4 linked regions of the Drosophila melanogaster genome follow. The protein of the gene in region 3 interacts with the protein of the main gene of each other region in a pairwise test. Each region holds a gene or a part of one and is shown on either strand. Other genes may lie near its edges.

Region 1 (4,386 bases), on a different chromosome or scaffold from region 3:
GCTGCTAAAATGTGTTAATGTATACGTTTAAAAGTTAGTCAGATGTTGTCATCGCTTTATTTTTACGATATTACGTTTGTATAGGAAGCTTTTTGATTTTCGTACCTCTCCCTAATAATTAAGAAAAGTAATTACATTATTGAAAATTGACATATCAATTTAATCGTTAAATTAACGATTACGCTGATAGAAACTTACACTTAGAAAATTTGTTGTTCTTAGTACAATTGTAATAACCTCGTCTCTTTTCCCTTCTGCAGTACAGTCTGATAAAAAAGTACGGCTACCCGGCGGAGAATCACACCTTGGAGACGGATGATGGATACATCCTCACCTTGCACAGGATCGCTAGACCGGGAGCAACGCCAGTGCTTCTGGTGCACGGACTACTGGATAGCTCAGCCACTTGGGTGATGATGGGACCGAACAAGGGACTTGGTAAGATCATAGGCTATCTCCAAATGTCCCATGCTGATTGCGTTGCTCTGTTCCAAAGGTTACCTGCTCTACGATCAGGGGTACGATGTCTGGATGGCCAATGTTCGTGGCAATACGTACTCGAGAAAGCATGTTAAGTATAGCACCCACCATGCCAAGTTCTGGGACTTTACATTCCACGAGATGGGAAAGCATGATATACCCGCCACAATGGACTACATCCTCAATTCCACGGGCGTAAGCCAATTGCACTACATTGGTCACTCCCAGGGAACCGTTGTGTTCTGGATCATGGCCAGCGAGAAGCCCGAGTATATGGACAAGATCATTCTGATGCAGGGATTGGCACCGGTGGCATTCCTCAAGCACTGCCGCAGTCCGGTGGTCAACTTCCTGGCCGAGTGGCATCTATCGGTGAGCGTAAGTTACCCCATCCTAATTATCCCATCCTTTCAAAGAGCGTTTTTGCAGTGGAATACATCCAAATTTAATGTAAATTTAATCATTGTTTATTATAAACACGATCCAGTGCAAAACATCTTTCTCCTTCTCTTCTCATTCAATTTGTTCATGTTAACTTATATTATTTTAATATTTTAGTTGGTCCTCAAGCTGATTGGCGTTCACGAGTTTTTGCCTAAGAATGAGTTCATCAGCATGTTCAACCGGATCATCTGCGACGAGACCACTATTACGAAAGAGATTTGTTCAAACGTCATCTTCCTGACCACCGGATTCGACAAGCTCCAGCTGAACGAGACTATGCTGCCGGTAATCGTGGGTCATTCTCCGGCCGGAGCCTCCACCAAGCAGATGCAGCATTTTGGACAGCTCAACAGATCTGGCGGTTTCCGGCAGTATGATCACGGATGGCTCAGAAACCACTGGATCTACGGAACCATTGACCCGCCATCCTACCACCTGGAGAATGTTCGGGCCAAGGTGGCACTATATTATGGCCAAAACGATTGGCTGGCTCCGCCGGAGGATGTGGAAATGCTGAACCGCAAGCTGCCCAATGTCGTGGAGAAATATCTGGTGGACGACAAGGAGTTCAACCACTTGGATTTCATTTGGGGCATCGATGCCCGGGAACTTTTGTGGGATCGAATGCTGGAAATAATGCGAAATCATGAGAATTCAATTATCTAAAGGGGAATAGAACTATGGTTATAATTTAGTTATTCACAGTATATTATTATTAGTTAGGTATTTATTGTTTAGTAGAAACTAAGACGATTTACAACAATTTTACAACGATAAAAGCCAATAAAAACAACTTACAATTAATACATTTTTAATATTAATTCCCATCTTTTCTATTCCTATTTTTTGATATGAAAATTAGTATATATCTTTTAATTCGATTTTGCTAAGCAACAAACTTTTTGCTTAAGTTACATGAATGATATTTATTTCCGAAAGTATTTAAGTTGAGACCCAAGCGGTAAATGTAAATTTTATTCATAGGTTAAAGTGTTGCACTTTTATTGCCTACGTACAATCTTTTTTAGTATCCCAAAATTTTACTTGCTTCAGTTTCCACTTGGAACTTGTATACATCGGATTAGTAAAGTTTGTCTCTAATAAAGTCAGATGTCTCTATCATCGTCTTCGAAATTTCTTATATGGACCTTCTTTTTGGGCCTATTCCAGCTGGAAGCCAATGCATTTTTCAATCCTTTTCAACTGGCTATACCTTCATCAGTTTTAGAAGATGCACACTTGAATACGGTAAGTTCAAAAATCATTCGGGTTCCAACGATTAGTAACATTTGGAATAAAGCATAGGAAGTTTATCCAGATCTAAAAATCTAGATTAATATAGTGCATTATATTTCGACTTATAAAACATCTGTAGATATAGACACAATTTGTGTGAGTGTAAGTACATATATAGCTTTCTAGGTTATAGCTCTTACTATAAAGGTCGGATTACTCGCTGATTGGTCATAGTTTTATAATCTCATGTATTCTAAATACTACGTACACTCAATACTACGTACACTCAAAGTATTTAAGGGCAAATCTCTAGCGAATAGTTATATTAAGCCGTGTTTGTTTCTCCTGTTTTTGCAGATACAATTGATTTCCAAATATGGATACCCGGCGGAGAATTACACAGTGCAGAGTGACGATGGCTACTTATTGGGACTCTTCAGGATCGCACGTCCTGGAGCCCTGCCTGTGCTGCTGGTCCACGGACTAATGGACAGTTCCGATACCTGGGTGATGATGGGTCCTTCCAGTTCCTTAGGTACAATCGAATTTCATTCGTTTTTTAAGTGCACTCAGAATGATTTTCTTCCAAAGGATACATGTTGTACGAGCAGGGCTACGACGTCTGGATGGCCAATGTGCGGGGTAATACCTATACGAAACGCCATGTTCGTTACTCCGCCGAAGACTCCGATTTCTGGAACTTTTCGTTCCATGAGATGGGCATTTTCGATCTGCCTGCCATCATTGATTACATACTGATGCAATCTGGATTCGGTCAGTTGCACTACATTGGTCACTCCCAGGGATCAACTATCTTCTGGATTTTGGCCAGCGAAAGACCAGAGTACATGGAAAAGATCGTTATGATGCAGGCATTGGCTCCAGTGGCCTTCCTGTCCCATTGCCGTAGTCCCATTGTGAATTTGTTGGCCTCTCAGGATACTGCAGTTGCCGTACGTTTAAGATTTGTTTACACTTTTATACATTTTAACTAATATCTGGTTTTAGTCCTTCCTAAGCGCGGCTGGCTACAATGAGTTCCTGCCCAGCAACAGTGTGATTGATCAGTTCAAGCGTTATGCCTGCCGGGATATCATTTCCAGCAGTGTCTGTCAGAGTCTCTTCTTTATTCTTTTCGGTTTCAATGGCCAGCAAGTGAACCAAACGATGTTGCCGATCGTAGTGGGTCACACTCCGGCCGGTGCATCCATCAGGCAGATGCACCACTACGGCCAGCTGAGGAACTCTGGGAAATTCCAGCAGTTTGACTACGGACTGTTGAACTTCCTGCATTATGGCAGCCTGTCCCCACCGCCTTATGAACTGGAGAAAGTCAAGGCCAAGGTGGCAATCTATTATGCCAAAAACGATTGGATAGCTCCGCCGGAAGATGTGGACATGCTTTTCAACAGGTTGCCCAATGTGGTGGAAAAGTATCTCGTTCCGAATGAAAACTTTAACCACTTCGATCTGGTCTGGGGCAGAGATGCAAAGAGAATTCTGTGGAATCGAATGCTTGGAGTTATGCAATCAGTTGTTCCATACTCCTCCTACAATGATGGCGATAGTATCACAACTGTATTTGTAAATCGATTCTAATCAATGTTTTCAAATGTAAATGAAAGGAATTTTACAAAAACTATCAAATAAAAGCATTCGTCTTTGTATCTAAACAGTATTTACTCATTTTATTTATAAAGAATGTTTATCAGCAGTTGCAGAAGACAACAAGTTATACCGATATGATTATAACAAATATATTCAATAAACGTATTTGCATAAAATTTATTATATATTCAATAATTTTTTTTATTCACAATTTCTTTACCCGGTTGAATAATAAAAATAGTTATCGGCTATAAAGTCACTTCCATTGGATTTAATTTAATAGCCTCACATTTATTTATTTGAACTGCCTTAATCGCATAATTTAGGAGCGTGTTAGCTAAATAATTATTTTCGCTTGGAAACCGGTTTCGTTCAAACTTTATTAGCTTCAAATTCTATGACTGTTAACAATTATATGTGATTTATCAGTTTACCAATGCGCTCTATTCAGCTTTCACATCAATTTTACACGACCTTATCCAACTGTCAAGCTGTTGTTATATCCACTTCCATTTCCACACACACACACACACACACACACACCGTGCTGGGAAAACTCGTTTAATATATTCGAAACAATGAGAGATTGCTATTTTATGCATATTGATTGCCCTGATT
Region 2 (4,827 bases), on a different chromosome or scaffold from region 3:
TTCGCTTCTTCAAGCCCTCGGCTAAACGATTGGGCCTGTCCTTCAGATTCAACTGAGGGCTTATAGCTTGAATTACTTTCCAAGACTATTGGTTGAGGTTTAAACACGAATCCGTAATCTTTTACAATGGATTCTCTTTGCAAGCGCACCTTTTGCTCATCTTCTGTTGAATCTGCATCGCCATTGATGTCCAATATGCTCTCAACCGCAGGAAGGATCGGGGGGCTTATAATATTGTTCAATTGATTGTTTATATCAATAATTCCCTCGCTGGGTTCCACTCGAAATATCGCCAAGAGCGCAACGAATGCGTAAAGGAATCCTAACTGCATTCTGAAACTACTTTTAGCAGCGAATCGGAAAGGAGCCTTTTATAGGCTCGCAAATGAAATGCCATGAAATTGATAACACATGGATTAAAGCGATTTTAAATGGATTATCTCTCGATGTTACATCACAAGTGGCAAATGAGTTGGGACAGCAAGATTGATGGGCTTCTTGAAAATACATTTTATTGTTACAATTCCAGGATTTGGTATTGAATAAGTGTTTTTTTTTTTGCCTTAGCTTCCCAGTTACAAACACAAGATATAGATCAAGTGTGTGGTTTGCGGATTTTTCATTTAATCGAACTTAAATAACTAATTATGTTAAGTAGAAGCTTAAGGATACACTTGATTTTTTTATTACCATCTAAAATCAAAAATAGTGAAACTGTAATTTAAAGAAGAACAATGGAGAATTTAAGGCGCTTCGGTTTGGGTAAAGTTACTGAACTTTTGACAATCTAATTGCACAAGTGCACGAGGCGCAACCGTTATTATCCTTGGTCCTTGTTTCGTCCTTGTTCCGGTGGCGTTGGCAAATTCACGCCACTCGCTTGTTTGCGCAAATTTGATTATCAAAATACCCAAGGAGAGTGCAGCCGTGGTCGGAAAAGTCGGGAAAGAAGTCGCGAAAGGAAGAAGGATAATGCCATGTCGCCGCATTAGCGCCTCTGGTGGGTCGGGTTGGGCGTGGTCGTTGTCCCGTGAAACAAGCTCGAAATTGAGTTTGCCTAGTGTCCTTGCGCCCCTTTAATACCACCCCCTCCTGTCCACCACCACTAGCCCTTTTGCCTGCTGGGCTGATTAAAGCTCCATGCCAACTTGCGGTGATTTGCTTTTTTTTTCTGGCACCATCATTTGGATGCAGTGGCGCCCTGCACAAATGGGGCATTAAGCCCTCCGATGTCGGGACCTGACATATATTAAATTTCATCTCGCCGTCAGTCGGATTCGGATGCGGAATCGGGCGCCTAATGAAGGTTAAGCAACTTTTAATGTCCCGGCCCGGGCCATTTTGCAGACCATTAAATGTTTCGCCTGGCAATATGCCATATGTTTCCAGCATGGACATAAGCCCCATGTCCGGAAAATGTTCGCTACGTTCTGCAAAAACTTTACTTATCATTTCAACGCCAAAAGCCATAAAGACGCTCGCTAAGTCTGCGTGTGTTTGTGATGACACGACGATGACAGTAATCGTAATCCTAGTCATGGTAATGATGACACTGGGGCGCTCAGCCCACAGTCATGCCATATAAGCATATGGCGGTTGGGTTCCAGGAATCAGGCTGGGCAGAGACACTTAACGGTCATGTGGAGGGCTAACGAGCGATTTCACCCTTTATGGCCAGCATTTGGATGCCATCGGTTATCGGATTCCGTCACGAGTATTTTCAATTAGTAATGTGGACTGTGGAAATCGGTTTCACTGGCGTATCGCATTGATATGATTGCTCTTTGTGTTATTAGTTAATTGTTCTGGTTGTTCAATGTATTTCCTTTGGGCTTCCCACACATGTAGTTTCACTCACCGCCAGTGTCACGCCCGATGGACACCTTCCGGAATCCCAGTCAATCGCAATTGGTGTGACTTTCGACTGCCTCAGTTGCTCCTGAACTCCTGAGTTCAATCTTCAATCGTTACCCCTTTGCACTCGAGCAGAACGCGACGCAGTCTTAAGTGGTATGAAGATTGTAACATTCGAACCTTGGTGCACTTGAACAAGTAAGATGGTTGAAATTTAACACTTTTTTTTACTTTTAGGTAAGAGATATAACTATTAGTAGATTTCCATTTTATAATTAATACCACTAGAGCTAATCTCTGGGGATTTAAAAATTACATTCTAAACAGTTTCATCCAGGAAAGCATGTTCTGAATTGATGCTTGTGAGATTTTCTTTTTCTGAGTGTATTTTTTGCCTGGTTATGTGAGCGTTTTCCATGTTCACACAAGTACAGCCCCCCCCCCCCTTTGCCGGCGGCACACCCCTCAGTAATTTCATGCTCCATTGGCCAACGAAATCGCCACACAATCAAAGGAAAAGCTTCGCCCTTTTCGTCAAGACATGAAGTTATACAACCATCGAGGTGAATGCTAAGAATTTGGCCCACATTGTGGCACTTCGAGAGTTCGCTGAAATATATATATATATATAGTATTTAAATTCACAGGCCCAATTTATGCACTTCTAAGTTTTTGAAACGAGACTCGTACATTCATTTCGGCCAGCCAACGCAACTTTCGATTGGCGTTTGTCCAGGGTCCTTGTAGCGATATTTATGCAGTTTTTCCATGGAACAAGGGAATACTATCTCCAGCTGTCGCTGTTGTTGTTCTTGTCACTGCATTCATGGCCACTTCTTTCCGCTCGCCATTTCTTTTGGGCTTTCTCCGCTCCGCTCCGCACTGGTCCACTTCACTCCACTCCATTTTTATTTATTTTCCCCGACTTTTGTATTTCTGTTTGCATTTTTTTTAAACACGTTTCTTTTTTGTGCTGCTGTCGGGCGCCCCAACACGAGAAGTCCATTTCGAAATTTATGTACACACAAATTGAAAGCGTTGGAAGGGACTGAGAGCCGAAATGAAGGAAAGAAAAGTGTTTTGGTGCTGGCGGAAAAACCGTTGGCTGCATTTCTCGAATTGCAGTTTCGGTGCAAAAAGAATTCGGGGCAGAAAAATACAAACGATATGCCTTTAAGTGACACTTGCCAGGAGGTTTTGTATTCCCGATGGGTGGAGTCCTTTTTGGTGGAGCGGACCGATAGTCCAAAACCGTCGACAAAACGTTTGGATTGTTGATTTTGGAGCGGGGAAAAGGCGAGAGATAAACTCAATTGAAAAGAGATCAGATAATGCTTCGACCACTGGGAAAATGTTTAAATAAAATTATCTAAATCCTTTCGCAAAGGGAGCAGTAAAGGAGGAGTGAAAATAAAGTATGTACTTTCCGCAATATTTATTGCTCTTAAATGTGAGGTGGATCGCTTGACATTTTAAGACATTGTTGGGTTCTTATATTTCCTAGCTATTTCTCCCATTAAGTACGCAAATATGCGTGTCAAATCGAGTCATAAAATTCCGTTCCACCCATTTAACCATTGAATACTAAACCATATCACACCAAAACAGTTTTAAATTCAGCAAGAGAAGGCACTCCTGCTTTAAGCTCATTCAGGCTAAAACAATAAACAAGCCGCGTAGTTTATTGCCCTCTGAACTTCTGGCCAGAGCGAAAAGTTCACCTCGTTTATAAGTCGGCATTGGCAGTTGCGATTGCTCTTGGCATAAATTAGATGCGGCAGCGGCTTTTGAAAATAGGTTGCCATGTGTGCGGCACCCGGCTTCTGTTTCCAAGTTGCCAGCTCCCACAGTTTCCATTTCCAAGTTCCTGGCTCCTACCGGTGGAGGATCACTGTGCTGCCCGAGGCGTGTCTTTGTTTTGGCGGCGGTGTCATCCCGGTTTAACCTGGACTGAAATTAACCCAGCTGAGCCCACGAAGCTGCGACCCGTTTCCTGTCAGTCTCTCTGTCCATCGGACTGACTGACTGACTGCATTTGCATTTGCATTTCAATGCCCTGCCCTTTTTAAATAGCGAAGCTTTACTGCGAACAAAATAGTGTACTTTGAATAGTAAGAAAAAACTGCTGTAAACTTTAAGATACATCTTATATGTTGCCACTTAAAGTTTCAAGATTCAAAGAATAAAATATTGCATCGTACATTAAAGTCAAGAATATGAAGTGAAGTTGTCTACAAATGGGTTCAAATAATTTTTAATTTTTTTCCAGTGCTCTTAGAGTATCCCTAATTCTAAACTCAATTATCGCTGAATGCGCGACTGGCAACATTGTCTTGTGCATGCTAATTTCATTACAATGCAGCTAAAGGGTCCTTGCCCAGCCGCAGGACCCAGCTCAATACCCAATGAATTATGATGGACGTTGTCATGAGTGTGGTTCACTCACACACACACACACATGTGCAAGCCGCCTATGTGTGTTGGCCATGTTTATCTCTCTGGCCAACGTATACTTAGCACATTTGTCGGGAAGTAAGGGAGAATATGGAAAACCCGGAGATGTGGGCGGTCGGTTTGGGGCTGGTCAATGAGCGTTTGGCATACACGCTATCAGTAGATTGCTGGCTAGGCGTTTTTAGCCGACACGCCCCAACGAAAAATGGAGGAAAGGGCTTAAAGAAGGACTGATGGCGAAATGAAGTGCTTAACGCCAGGCTACTCACTATAACGCGGAAATTGCACTGGAAATAAAATGCATATCTTTAAAATATTAACGATATATAGTCAGGAAATTCTTTTTTCTATTCAAAATTCTTTTGGTCGAGGCACATAAAATTCTTCTAAATGTACATAGGATTTATGTACCATAAATTCAGTTCACACTCACACTCCAGTTGCAGTGTAGAGCTTAGCGTTGTGGTTGAGAACCCTTTGGCTGCGCCACTTCATTATAAACATTTCTCAATTGATTAT
Region 3 (4,395 bases):
CATTTGCGGAGATCTAAACAAGGGTCAGATACCCAAGAATCCGCTGGGACAAAATGTACTCGGGGAGCCCTATCCCTTGTAGGTGAAAATATTTGCGTAACAAATTTCAGACATCTCTAATGTACACCTCCTCCACAGCGAACTTATTCGCAACCAAACGCTGAAGTTCCTTTCGAAAACTTTGCCCGTTCTAAAGGCCGACGATACCCTACCCAAGGTCACCCAGATCATTCGAGATGAACCCGTGGAACAGCTGGACAGCAACAACATCGACAGGCCCTATCCCGCAGGAGGTTCCACTCGCGTCCGCCGCAGCCTGCCGGAGGGCGTGGAGTCCAACGAGTACAGCTACTTCGATCCCGCCCTGGACGAGGAGGAGCAACACAAGCAAAGGGATCGGAATAACCAGCAGAGAAGGGCCGCCGAGGAGAGGAAGCCAAGGAAATTCTGCGATGGCGGTGGAGTGTAAGTTTTTAGCATGGAAACGGGGGAGTAGAGTTATTCCAATCTTAACTGCTACATAAATGAAAGATAAATATATCGTATTTCTTAAAGCACGGGAAAGGCGCGCATATAAAGCTAAAGAGGTCACCACTTAAAAATTATGAGTCATCTTTATAAAATTATAGATTCGAAGAATTATCAAGGCAAAGAACCCAAATGAGCTTGTCATTTCACTTTCCACATCATAATGTAAAGCCATACAACTAAAGAAGCTCAACACTTTAATCGACATCCATAGATATTGTAGAATAGGTTAAGAGAGGAGTACATCATGGGGTATTCAACTGCTTAGCATTTTGACGACACAACTGCGTGCAGGTCAATTAATAAAAGATTTTTAAACTTTTAACTCCACCCACAGATTTTGCACCTTATACAGGGCAATTCAGGGAGACACCGGAGGAGCAGCCCCTGCCACGCCCACTGCGGAAAGGCGCGAGGAGGTGGGTCCCATCCGGTACGAGGGTCCTCCCACTCCCTGTCCCGCCAAGGTAGAGTACGCTACTCCCGTCTTCGCTAAGAACTACCAAGGCGCCTGGCGTTATGTGGTCCAGATTCCCTATGAGGGCTACTTCACCCAGACGGTGGAGGTGACGCGTTGCATTCAGGCACGCTGTCACTACCTGGACGGCGGTTGCTTGTCGTCACCACGCTGGGTAAGCCTGTTGGTGGCGGAGATCTTCTACCCCAATGCGGAGGACACAGTGCCCACCAGCTCGACCACCACTCAGGCCCCTTCTGTGCAGGATTTCCAGGCCTACCAGCAGTACCTGCAGAAGAGGGCAGGCGTGGCTACCGCCTCCGACGGAACCTCGTCTGGAGCAGCCGGCCCCGCGGCGCAGGTGGACGCCCACTGCGATGGACACGATGAACTGGGCTGCTTCCAGGTGCGTCTCTACTACGACTGGTTCCTCATCCCCGGCTCTTGCAAGTGCTGGCGCCCGGACTACTTCGCCAAGTACGTGCGCCGGAAGTCGGTGGCCGAGTTGTGAACACTTCCTGGACAGGATTTTCGAAGGAAATCCTTAGAATAAGACTAAGTTCTAGCCTTTAGAGGAACACAACTTTGAGGTGAAAGGCTCATTCTAGTAATCCACCCGGGTGCCCCACAGCCCTATACGGATCACGCAGAGTTTGCAGTTCGTGCATCTACCAGATACAATCTTAACCTAGGCGGTTAGCTCCCTCTTTCGACTGATTAAGCCAAGAGCAGTGCATTTCTACTAATAAATACGTTTCTACCTAATCATAAGAGAGCCTCTCTATTCGGCACTTTGCTGAGACTGCGATGTGGTATTGGCCTAGCCTGTGTGTGTTAGCCTCCTGGAACTCTCTCAGCTGCGCTTGTGTTGGAAGATCCACCGAAAACCCACAGAAACCAGTCGCGCAAGTTGCGCATGCGTGCGAGACTCGGGCCCAAAACCTCGGCCGCTGATCTAGTGTGCAGTCAATATAACCAGTTGGTTGGCTTTGGGTGTTTTGGCCGGGGATCCAAGCGACCGAGCTGCATTACATACACAGAATAGTTGCAGAGTTTGCGCAGAAGCCTTGACGAACGGCCTCAAAAGGCTGCCAGACGAGCCGCGGACTCGGATTTCAGGAGCCAATTTTCCGCATAGCTTGGGTAAGTCAGCCAAATGGAGGGCCGTCTCTTTGTTTATAAACAAAATAAGCAACCAAAGTGGACTAAGGTACAGATGCAGCTGCGATAATAACATTGAGTAAACTTGGTACTTGAAGGCAAGAAACTAACAAAATCATTCATTTGCACGTCTCAGTTGAGCCCATTTAAATAAAATTGTAGAGTTTGAAATCAAGTAATTTTGTGTGGCGACTAGACGATTTTATAAAAATAAATTTGTTAAAACTGCTTGTAAATAAGTGGGAAATATCTTAGCTCAGAGATTCAGTCCTAAGGCAGCGTGCCAGATTCACACACATTCCATTTGGAGTTACCCATGCAAATGAGCTCCTATTAATATAAGTTATGCATTGGTGCCAAGCGTGGGACTATACGATTCATAATCTCATCCCACTTTCCATTTTGCGCCATCCGCAGACGAAGATGCTCCGCCAGAACAAGAATACCAGTACCAGTCTGCTGAACCTAAGCATAGGCGATGTGGGAGGCAGCCATCCACAGGGGCAGTCGCAATTTTGGGAACTGGATACGCTGCCTAAGCAGTTCGTCCTGTCCATGAAAAAGCTCTTCGACATCTTAGATGACAAGCAGACCGGATACGTGCGCTTCACGGACATCGAGAAGGGCTGGCAGGATGATGGCTCCAAGGGACTGCCACGCGGAGTTGTGGACTCACTCCGTCGGGTCACTCCCAGTAGCGGACTTCTCTCCTTCGAGCGGTTCTGCGCCGGCCTCAAGCTGTGCCTGCTCCGCAATCAGCAAAACGCTGTGGAAGACCTGAAGTTGCGGCCTCGTTCCCACGGAACTCTTGCTCCGGAGATGGAGTTCCATTCTCCTGCTCCGCCGCCAAAACCTCCACGACAGGTACCCAAGTCCCCTGCTCTGGGTAAAGACGACATTCGCCATGCCCTCCAAAACTGGCAACTGAACCTGATGGCGGACGCAGGAAAGTCAAAAACGACGCAGTCGCGGGAACAATTCGAACACCGTGGATCGGCTGACGGTGGCTCTTCCTCCACCTCTGCTTCGGCCACCGACTGGAGCCTGGCCCTTCCGGCTGTGCCCAAGAAGACCAGCAGCAAGCGCAGAGAGTCGCGGAGGCACACTCTGCAACACGGCATCGATTACAACATGCTAAAAAGACTGAAGCAATTGGAGGAGCAGCGGGAACTGCTTCTTTTCGGACTCGATGGCGTGGAGAAGGCACGCGATTGGTATATGATGCAGGTGCTCAATGTACAGGAGCAGATAAAGTATTTCGGCCGTTTAGGAACCCGATTTGTAAGTAGTCCTCTAGCTTGTAATTAATAGTTACCCCTTTCCTGATTTTCGCACAGGATCAGTGGTCTGAACTGCAGCAAGAAAGGCTAAACTTTCAACGCGCCCGCGTTTTTGAGGCCAATCGCAGCCTCCAGATTCTGGCCGACACCTGGGAGCACGGCGGCTACCCACTGCACATTAATTTGGCTGTGCCGACACCCACCGTCCCAAAACCGAGGCAGATGTCCGATCTGCTCAGTCGGGTTCGCGAGAAGCCGCCGCTTCTGTCAGACTTGTACGAGGCGCAGCACTCTCATTCCCATCCGCAGTTCCTGCGTGCCATGCCCAACTTCGTGCTCAGCCAGCCCTCGCCGGTCAGCCAATCCTCGGCCGGGCTGGGAGACGCCGACGTGGTCTACTGACGAATCAATGCTGCTGCGTACATTGTAAATAGTGTATTATTAAACAACTTGAACTATGTAAAGCTATACGGGATTGGGGTAGCGGCGCATGTACTTGTTAAGTTGCTTGTAGTTCAGGTTGCTGCCCGGTTGGACGATTCCCTGGTTCACGGTCTTCTTCGCCTCAAACTTACGGTCCATGTAGCACTTGTAGCAGTTCTGGAACTGGCTGATCTCCTTGTGGCAGTACTTCTCCACGAATTCGTTGTCTTTCAAGCAGGCGAACAGCACGCCCATCTCCTGGAGACAGGCCACATCGGATCCGGAGTCCGCCTTCCCGCTCACGGTGTTCTTCAGCCGCAGAGGCAGAATCTCCTGGAAGGGCACGTCCTTCTCGCTTTGAGGCGCTCGGCCGCGCGCGGCAAACAGGGCTCCGGGTACGCGCATCTGAAACCCCTTGGCTCTGTGAGTCCGGTCATTTCAGTCAAAAAATACGATTTTACCCACCTCGTAATTTCCACCGACTCCTGGACAACTGAACAGCTGCTTCAGATTACGTCACGAACTGGTTCCTGCTTTTGGTGGTGA
Region 4 (5,152 bases), on a different chromosome or scaffold from region 3:
CGATTGAGGCGGCACAGGAAACGAGCATTTAAAAGCGCGACTATCGAAATATAACGACATTAAGCCGAGGCTTTCATTTAAAGGAAGCTTGTGTCAATACCACTGAGCTTGCCTTGGAATGCGCAATCCCGATTGCAGATCTTTTGATGGCGCCGCCATTCAGGATGATCCAGGGATCCAGCAATCTCCAGCAAGAGATCATCCTCGCGACGATCATCATCATCCGTAAGCCGGCCACTAAGCGACATAATTGCTACCGTGGGACTGAGGATCTCTGGTCTCCAGACTCCAGACTCCCGGATCATTAAATGCCGCGATCCTAATGCGCTCCAATCAAACACACACGAAACGAGCGTATGACATGTTTGTGCATTATTAATCACGATAATATCTGTATAAATGGTAGAAAACTGAGAGTCCGGTCCAAATTGCAATTTAATGCAAAAATAAATTGCACTCGGTGCTGGACTGGCTCTTTCCAGCAGTTTTTTCCTGCTTATTTCGTGGCCAACCAACCGGCAGCCGGAGAGCTGGCAGCTCCCATGATTATTGGTCATTTACTTGGGCCGTTTAGCGCATTAAGTCCGAGTTCCCCCACTGGACACTCGCGTCTGGGGGCTTTGCATAAAGAATAAGGAAATAATTGACAGTTGAAAAGTCTCAGCTATGATTGCGGCTGTGATTCGAATTGTGATTGGGTTTGCTGTGCCAGCGTATTTTTGATTCTTCTGGCAGCATTCTTCTCTCGCTCTTTCGTCTGCGATTCTGCGGCGATGAGATGGCGTGCGATGAGAATCATTTCAATCAACTGGCTGCGCTTGGGGCTGAAGAAATCAACGCGTTGACTAATGGCCACAATTTGCAAGTGCTAGCAGGTTGATGCACTCGGAAAAATCTCCACTATTGCAAATGGATTTTAAGTGTAATAATTTCCAGGAAACCATCTCAAGGTGTTTCAATCTGACCGCCAATCCAAAGCCTTTTAAGATCGTTAATATTTAATAGATTAGACCATTGTTCCATATTCCTTACTAGGAACTCCACGGTTTCCTTAGATGTCTAGAAAACATCTGGCTTGTAATTCCTTATCAGGCGATCGCAATCCTTTTATGGCCGCCGATCACATTTGATTTTAGTGAATTAAGGGATGTTCGCTTAAAGTTTTCTTCCCTCTATACAATGTTTTCTTGATATAGTAATAAATTATTCGTATGAATAACTTGTAAAAATAGCTATAATATGAGATTTCTTCTTATTGGCAAGTTCATAATGTAAGCTGCATCTGTTACTTGTGCCTAAATCTATATTTAAAACCTTTAATTATCCGTCAAAATTCTTCAGTTTCCAAGGTTAAAAGTACTTAGCAAAGCTTGCGAAATTTCCTAGAAAGAATCATAAACAACTACTTGCAAAAATTATATAAATAAACGAATATTATCAGACAAGAGGGAGCTGGCACGATGGGCGAGAAAGAGATGGCACGACCAGGAGGGAAAGAGAGGGTGGGCAAAACACCCACTCAAAATCAAAATCAAAATCAGGCATATTAACCACAGAAACCGGTTCTCTCTTTCTCACCTTGCACGCGCTCTCGCTCTACCTCTGATTTAAATGCGCGTGTGTGGGTGAGAGCGGGAGTAAAGGTGCTCAGAATACACAGACAAAACGAGTTTGCACCTGGCCAACCTGAATTTCTCCCGCTCTCCGCTCGCTCTTTTCGTGGGTGATCTTGTGGGCCACGCTCTCATCCGCTCTCGCAGGGAGCGATCGCCAATGGCGAGAGAGATGTGGCGATCAACAAGTGAGCGCAGGTCCGCGATATGTCCGCAGAGCAATGGACTTTTAGTTATTCCGTGATCTTTTACCAATATTGTGTGCAGCGACGGCTGATCGACGTCAAGAGAAGAAGAAGAACTGGCAGAATCAGAGAAAATAAACAATATTATATATACGTACATATATATATACATAGCTCAACACGTGTATGTGTCTGTGTTGGCTAAGACCGGAAGTTGCATTAAACGGAAGTTAACTAATAGTAACTGCACATAATTTTAAAGATCGATTGTACCCAAATTGTTCGCGTGTGCTAGCCAGAAGAACTACCATATTATTTCAGTCGAAAAAATCGAAAAAGCGTGCCTGCCAATTTGACTTAACTTGGCTGAGACTGCACTTTGTTGTTTTCGTTTTTGGCCAGACGTCAAATTCGATTTTTATGACTTTTGAAAGCGTGACTAAGACGTGATTTATGATGGCGTGTGGTTTTTAATATTCATGTGGACGCGCTCCGAACCTCTCAACCTGCGTAGGTGCGCCAAACAATAAAAAATACAAAAAATCACCACGGCAACCAGCAACACAGCAACATCGCTGGCCCGAGGCTTTATCCCGATATCCAGCTGAGTGTGTGCGTGGATTCGACTTTTTTATGGAGGCAGTTAAGCATTTGAGTGCCGCTGCTGCTGCTGCAGCTGCAGCTGCAACTTGCAGCGATTCGCCGGCCAAGGCAGCAGCCTCACCGGCAGCAAGCAGCGATATTGCCGAGGCGCTTGGAGAACTCAAGGCAAGCGCAACAGCAGCAGCATCATCAGCTAGCAAGGCAGCAACATCGAAGCACCACAGCAACAACAACCACAAGCCAAGTGCCGCAGCAACAGCCACAGCAGCGCACAAGAAAAGCGAGAGTTGCAACAGCAACGGCAACAAGTGCACCGCTGCAACATCGCCGATCGGCAGTAAGACCAGCAACGCAGCCATGGCAGCTGCAACAGCAACGGCGGCCGCAGCAACCAACGATCTTGCAGCGGCTGCTGCGGTCGTTCTTTCGCTGCAAGGAACCATGGTCAGCAGTTTGCAGCAGGCCGCCCTACTGCCGGCCAATTCGGCGGCAGCAGCAGCTCTTAATCTCCAGGCCCTGGAATCCTATTTGGCGCTGCAGCGACTAACCGGGAAATCGGATGTATTTCGCTTTTCCAACAGCAACACCGGCAGCAGCAACAGCAACAACGCCACCACCTGCAACAGCAGCAGCAGTGAAGCGGACAACAATGCCTTACCCTCGCTCATCGATATAGCCAATATAGAGCTCAAGTCGAGCTGCTCCTCCAGCTCCTCGGGGGAACCCCCTTTGACGGCAGCGACAGCATCAGCTGCCGCCACATCCTCGCCCAGCAGCAACAACAGCAACTCCACCAGCACACCAACAACATCCAAGTGCGTGCCTCTGCCCTCCATTGGCACCGTTAGTGCTGCAGTGGCGGCTGCTGCGGCTGCCGCAGCAGCTGCTGCGAGCCAACAGGCGGCGCTGGACTGCGCAACAGCCGCAGAACTGGCAGCAGAGTGCGACTTACCGTTGCTCGATGGCGAGGATGCTCTCTCCTTCGAGGCGGGAGATTTGGACAGCAGCTATGGAAGCTTCATGTTTAATCCCTCAGCCTTCAGCCAGGCGGAAACGGACTCGGCTCTGCACTCGCTGCAGGCCACCATGTACCAGGACAAGATGAGTGTCATTTCGGGAGCGGCTGGCGGCGTAGGTGCAGGTGCGGTAGGAGGGCTGGAGGAGGCGGGCAGCTCGGCGGCGGCAGCGGCAGCCCAGCGGTCCAAGAAGCAGTTCATATGCAAATTCTGCAACCGACAGTTCACCAAGTCCTACAATCTGCTCATCCACGAAAGAACGCACACGGACGAGAGGCCTTACTCCTGCGACATCTGCGGCAAGGCCTTCAGGAGGCAGGATCATCTGAGGGATCATAGGTAGGTCAAAAATAGCGGATAAGCTACTTCATGGTATAATAAGAAATGATCCTTCTCTTGAGAATCACTCTGTCACAAAAGACTAGCATTTGGTTTCCATAAAAATCTAACCCACCATTCTCCTCATTCATTTTGGTAACCCGCAGATATATCCACTCCAAGGAGAAGCCCTTCAAGTGCGCGGAGTGCGGCAAGGGATTCTGTCAGTCCCGCACTCTGGCTGTCCACAAGATCCTGCACATGGAGGAGTCGCCGCACAAGTGCCCCGTGTGCAATCGCTCCTTCAACCAGCGTTCCAATCTGAAGACCCACCTGCTCACCCACACCGACATCAAGCCGTACAACTGCGCCTCCTGCGGGAAAGTCTTCCGGCGGAACTGCGACTTGCGACGTCACAGCCTGACGCATAACTTGTCCGCCGGAGTGGGCGGTGTGGTGGGTGGCAACCTAAGTGATCCATTTGGCTCCGGCTCCAGCTCCAGCTCGGAGTTGGGCTTGCCCACGGGCTCCGCCAGTACTGCAGCATCCTCCAGAGATTTGGTGGCCGTCAGCGATTGATCTTCCTCAGCTGATTCCTCACTCTTTGATACCCACTCAATAAAATAAAATCTCAATTGCAGCTCTCATGAATACGAATCCCTCCATTTCGTAATCGTAATCTTAGTACGACTAAACAGCATTTAGTTTAGTGTAAGTTTAGCCTTAGCTACTTTGGTTTAAGCCTTGGATATTTGTGACGTAAGCATAGCAGGAAAGTTTGACTTTGCGTAAATTAACGTTAGATATTAAGTTAAATTGTGGACTCTTAATGTACGATCGAATAAAAGACAATAGCTTAAAGGAAATTGTGCACATGGCTTTTTATTGTTGACTTGGGCTTATGGTTATAGAAAGGTTTTCTTGAGACTAAAAAGAACGTTAGTTGTATTATAATTTGAATATTCTAGAATTTTACCACGGGTATGGAGTTTGAGTTGTTTGAGTTTCCAAAGGCCTGTTGTTCATTTCAAAATTCAAGAATTTTCCAAAACGTTTTTCTCACCCTTTCTACCTTTCTACCGCTTTGATTCCACTCTTGTACTTACACTATTTACGCACTTGTAGCGAACTAAAATCAAATATTTGTACCGATGTTTATCGCTCGAGTGCCAACAAGGGCAATTAATGTAGCATTAAGGTGCACACCTTCAAACACCTCTTTCAACAAGCCTTTGACAACAAACAAAACAAGATCGACAATAGTGGGGCTAAAACAAAGAAATGCCCATATTTTCCCACCACTTCCAGGCTGTTCCACATTTCCAGTCAAATAATGTCGTACAAGCCGGTGGACAAGTGGAGCAGGCGCTATCTCATCGGGTCGAAAGGACCACCCACTAGAGTGTGATATATAGAT

The links.
Region 1: the proteins of CG3880 (region 3) and CG18301 interact in a two-hybrid assay, tested with the Drosophila melanogaster proteins (one large-scale study listed by BioGRID).
Region 2: the proteins of CG3880 (region 3) and CG7329 interact in a two-hybrid assay, tested with the Drosophila melanogaster proteins (one large-scale study listed by BioGRID).
Region 4: the proteins of CG3880 (region 3) and sob interact in a two-hybrid assay, tested with the Drosophila melanogaster proteins (one large-scale study listed by BioGRID).

The regions. Positions count from the first base shown.
Region 1 is NT_033779.5:10,529,818-10,534,203, forward strand, and holds CG18301 (uncharacterized protein), read left to right. Parts: upstream 1-2,003; 5' UTR 2,004-2,034; coding exon 2,035-2,172; intron 2,173-2,517; coding exon 2,518-2,695; intron 2,696-2,751; coding exon 2,752-3,113; intron 3,114-3,168; coding exon 3,169-3,759; 3' UTR 3,760-3,830; downstream 3,831-4,386. Other genes in the region: Lip4 (lipase 4), read left to right, coding at 261-438, 497-858, 1,039-1,590.
Region 2 is NT_033779.5:10,635,451-10,640,277, reverse strand, and holds the start of CG7329 (uncharacterized protein), read left to right. Parts: upstream 1-1,806; 5' UTR 1,807-2,052; intron 2,053-4,827. Other genes in the region: CG31872 (uncharacterized protein), read right to left, coding at 1-332.
Region 3 is NT_033778.4:24,758,719-24,763,113, forward strand, and holds CG3880 (uncharacterized protein), read left to right. Parts: upstream 1-1,945; 5' UTR 1,946-2,128; intron 2,129-2,563; 5' UTR 2,564-2,569; coding exon 2,570-3,427; intron 3,428-3,483; coding exon 3,484-3,828; 3' UTR 3,829-3,887; downstream 3,888-4,395. Other genes in the region: spz6 (spatzle 6), read left to right, coding at 1-78, 139-465, 866-1,496; CG12848 (uncharacterized protein), read right to left, coding at 3,892-4,254.
Region 4 is NT_033779.5:3,577,459-3,582,610, reverse strand, and holds sob (sister of odd and bowl), read left to right. Parts: upstream 1-1,841; 5' UTR 1,842-2,431; coding exon 2,432-3,756; intron 3,757-3,902; coding exon 3,903-4,314; 3' UTR 4,315-4,598; downstream 4,599-5,152. UniProt on the Drosophila melanogaster protein: Pair-rule protein that determines both the size and polarity of even-numbered as well as odd-numbered parasegments during embryogenesis.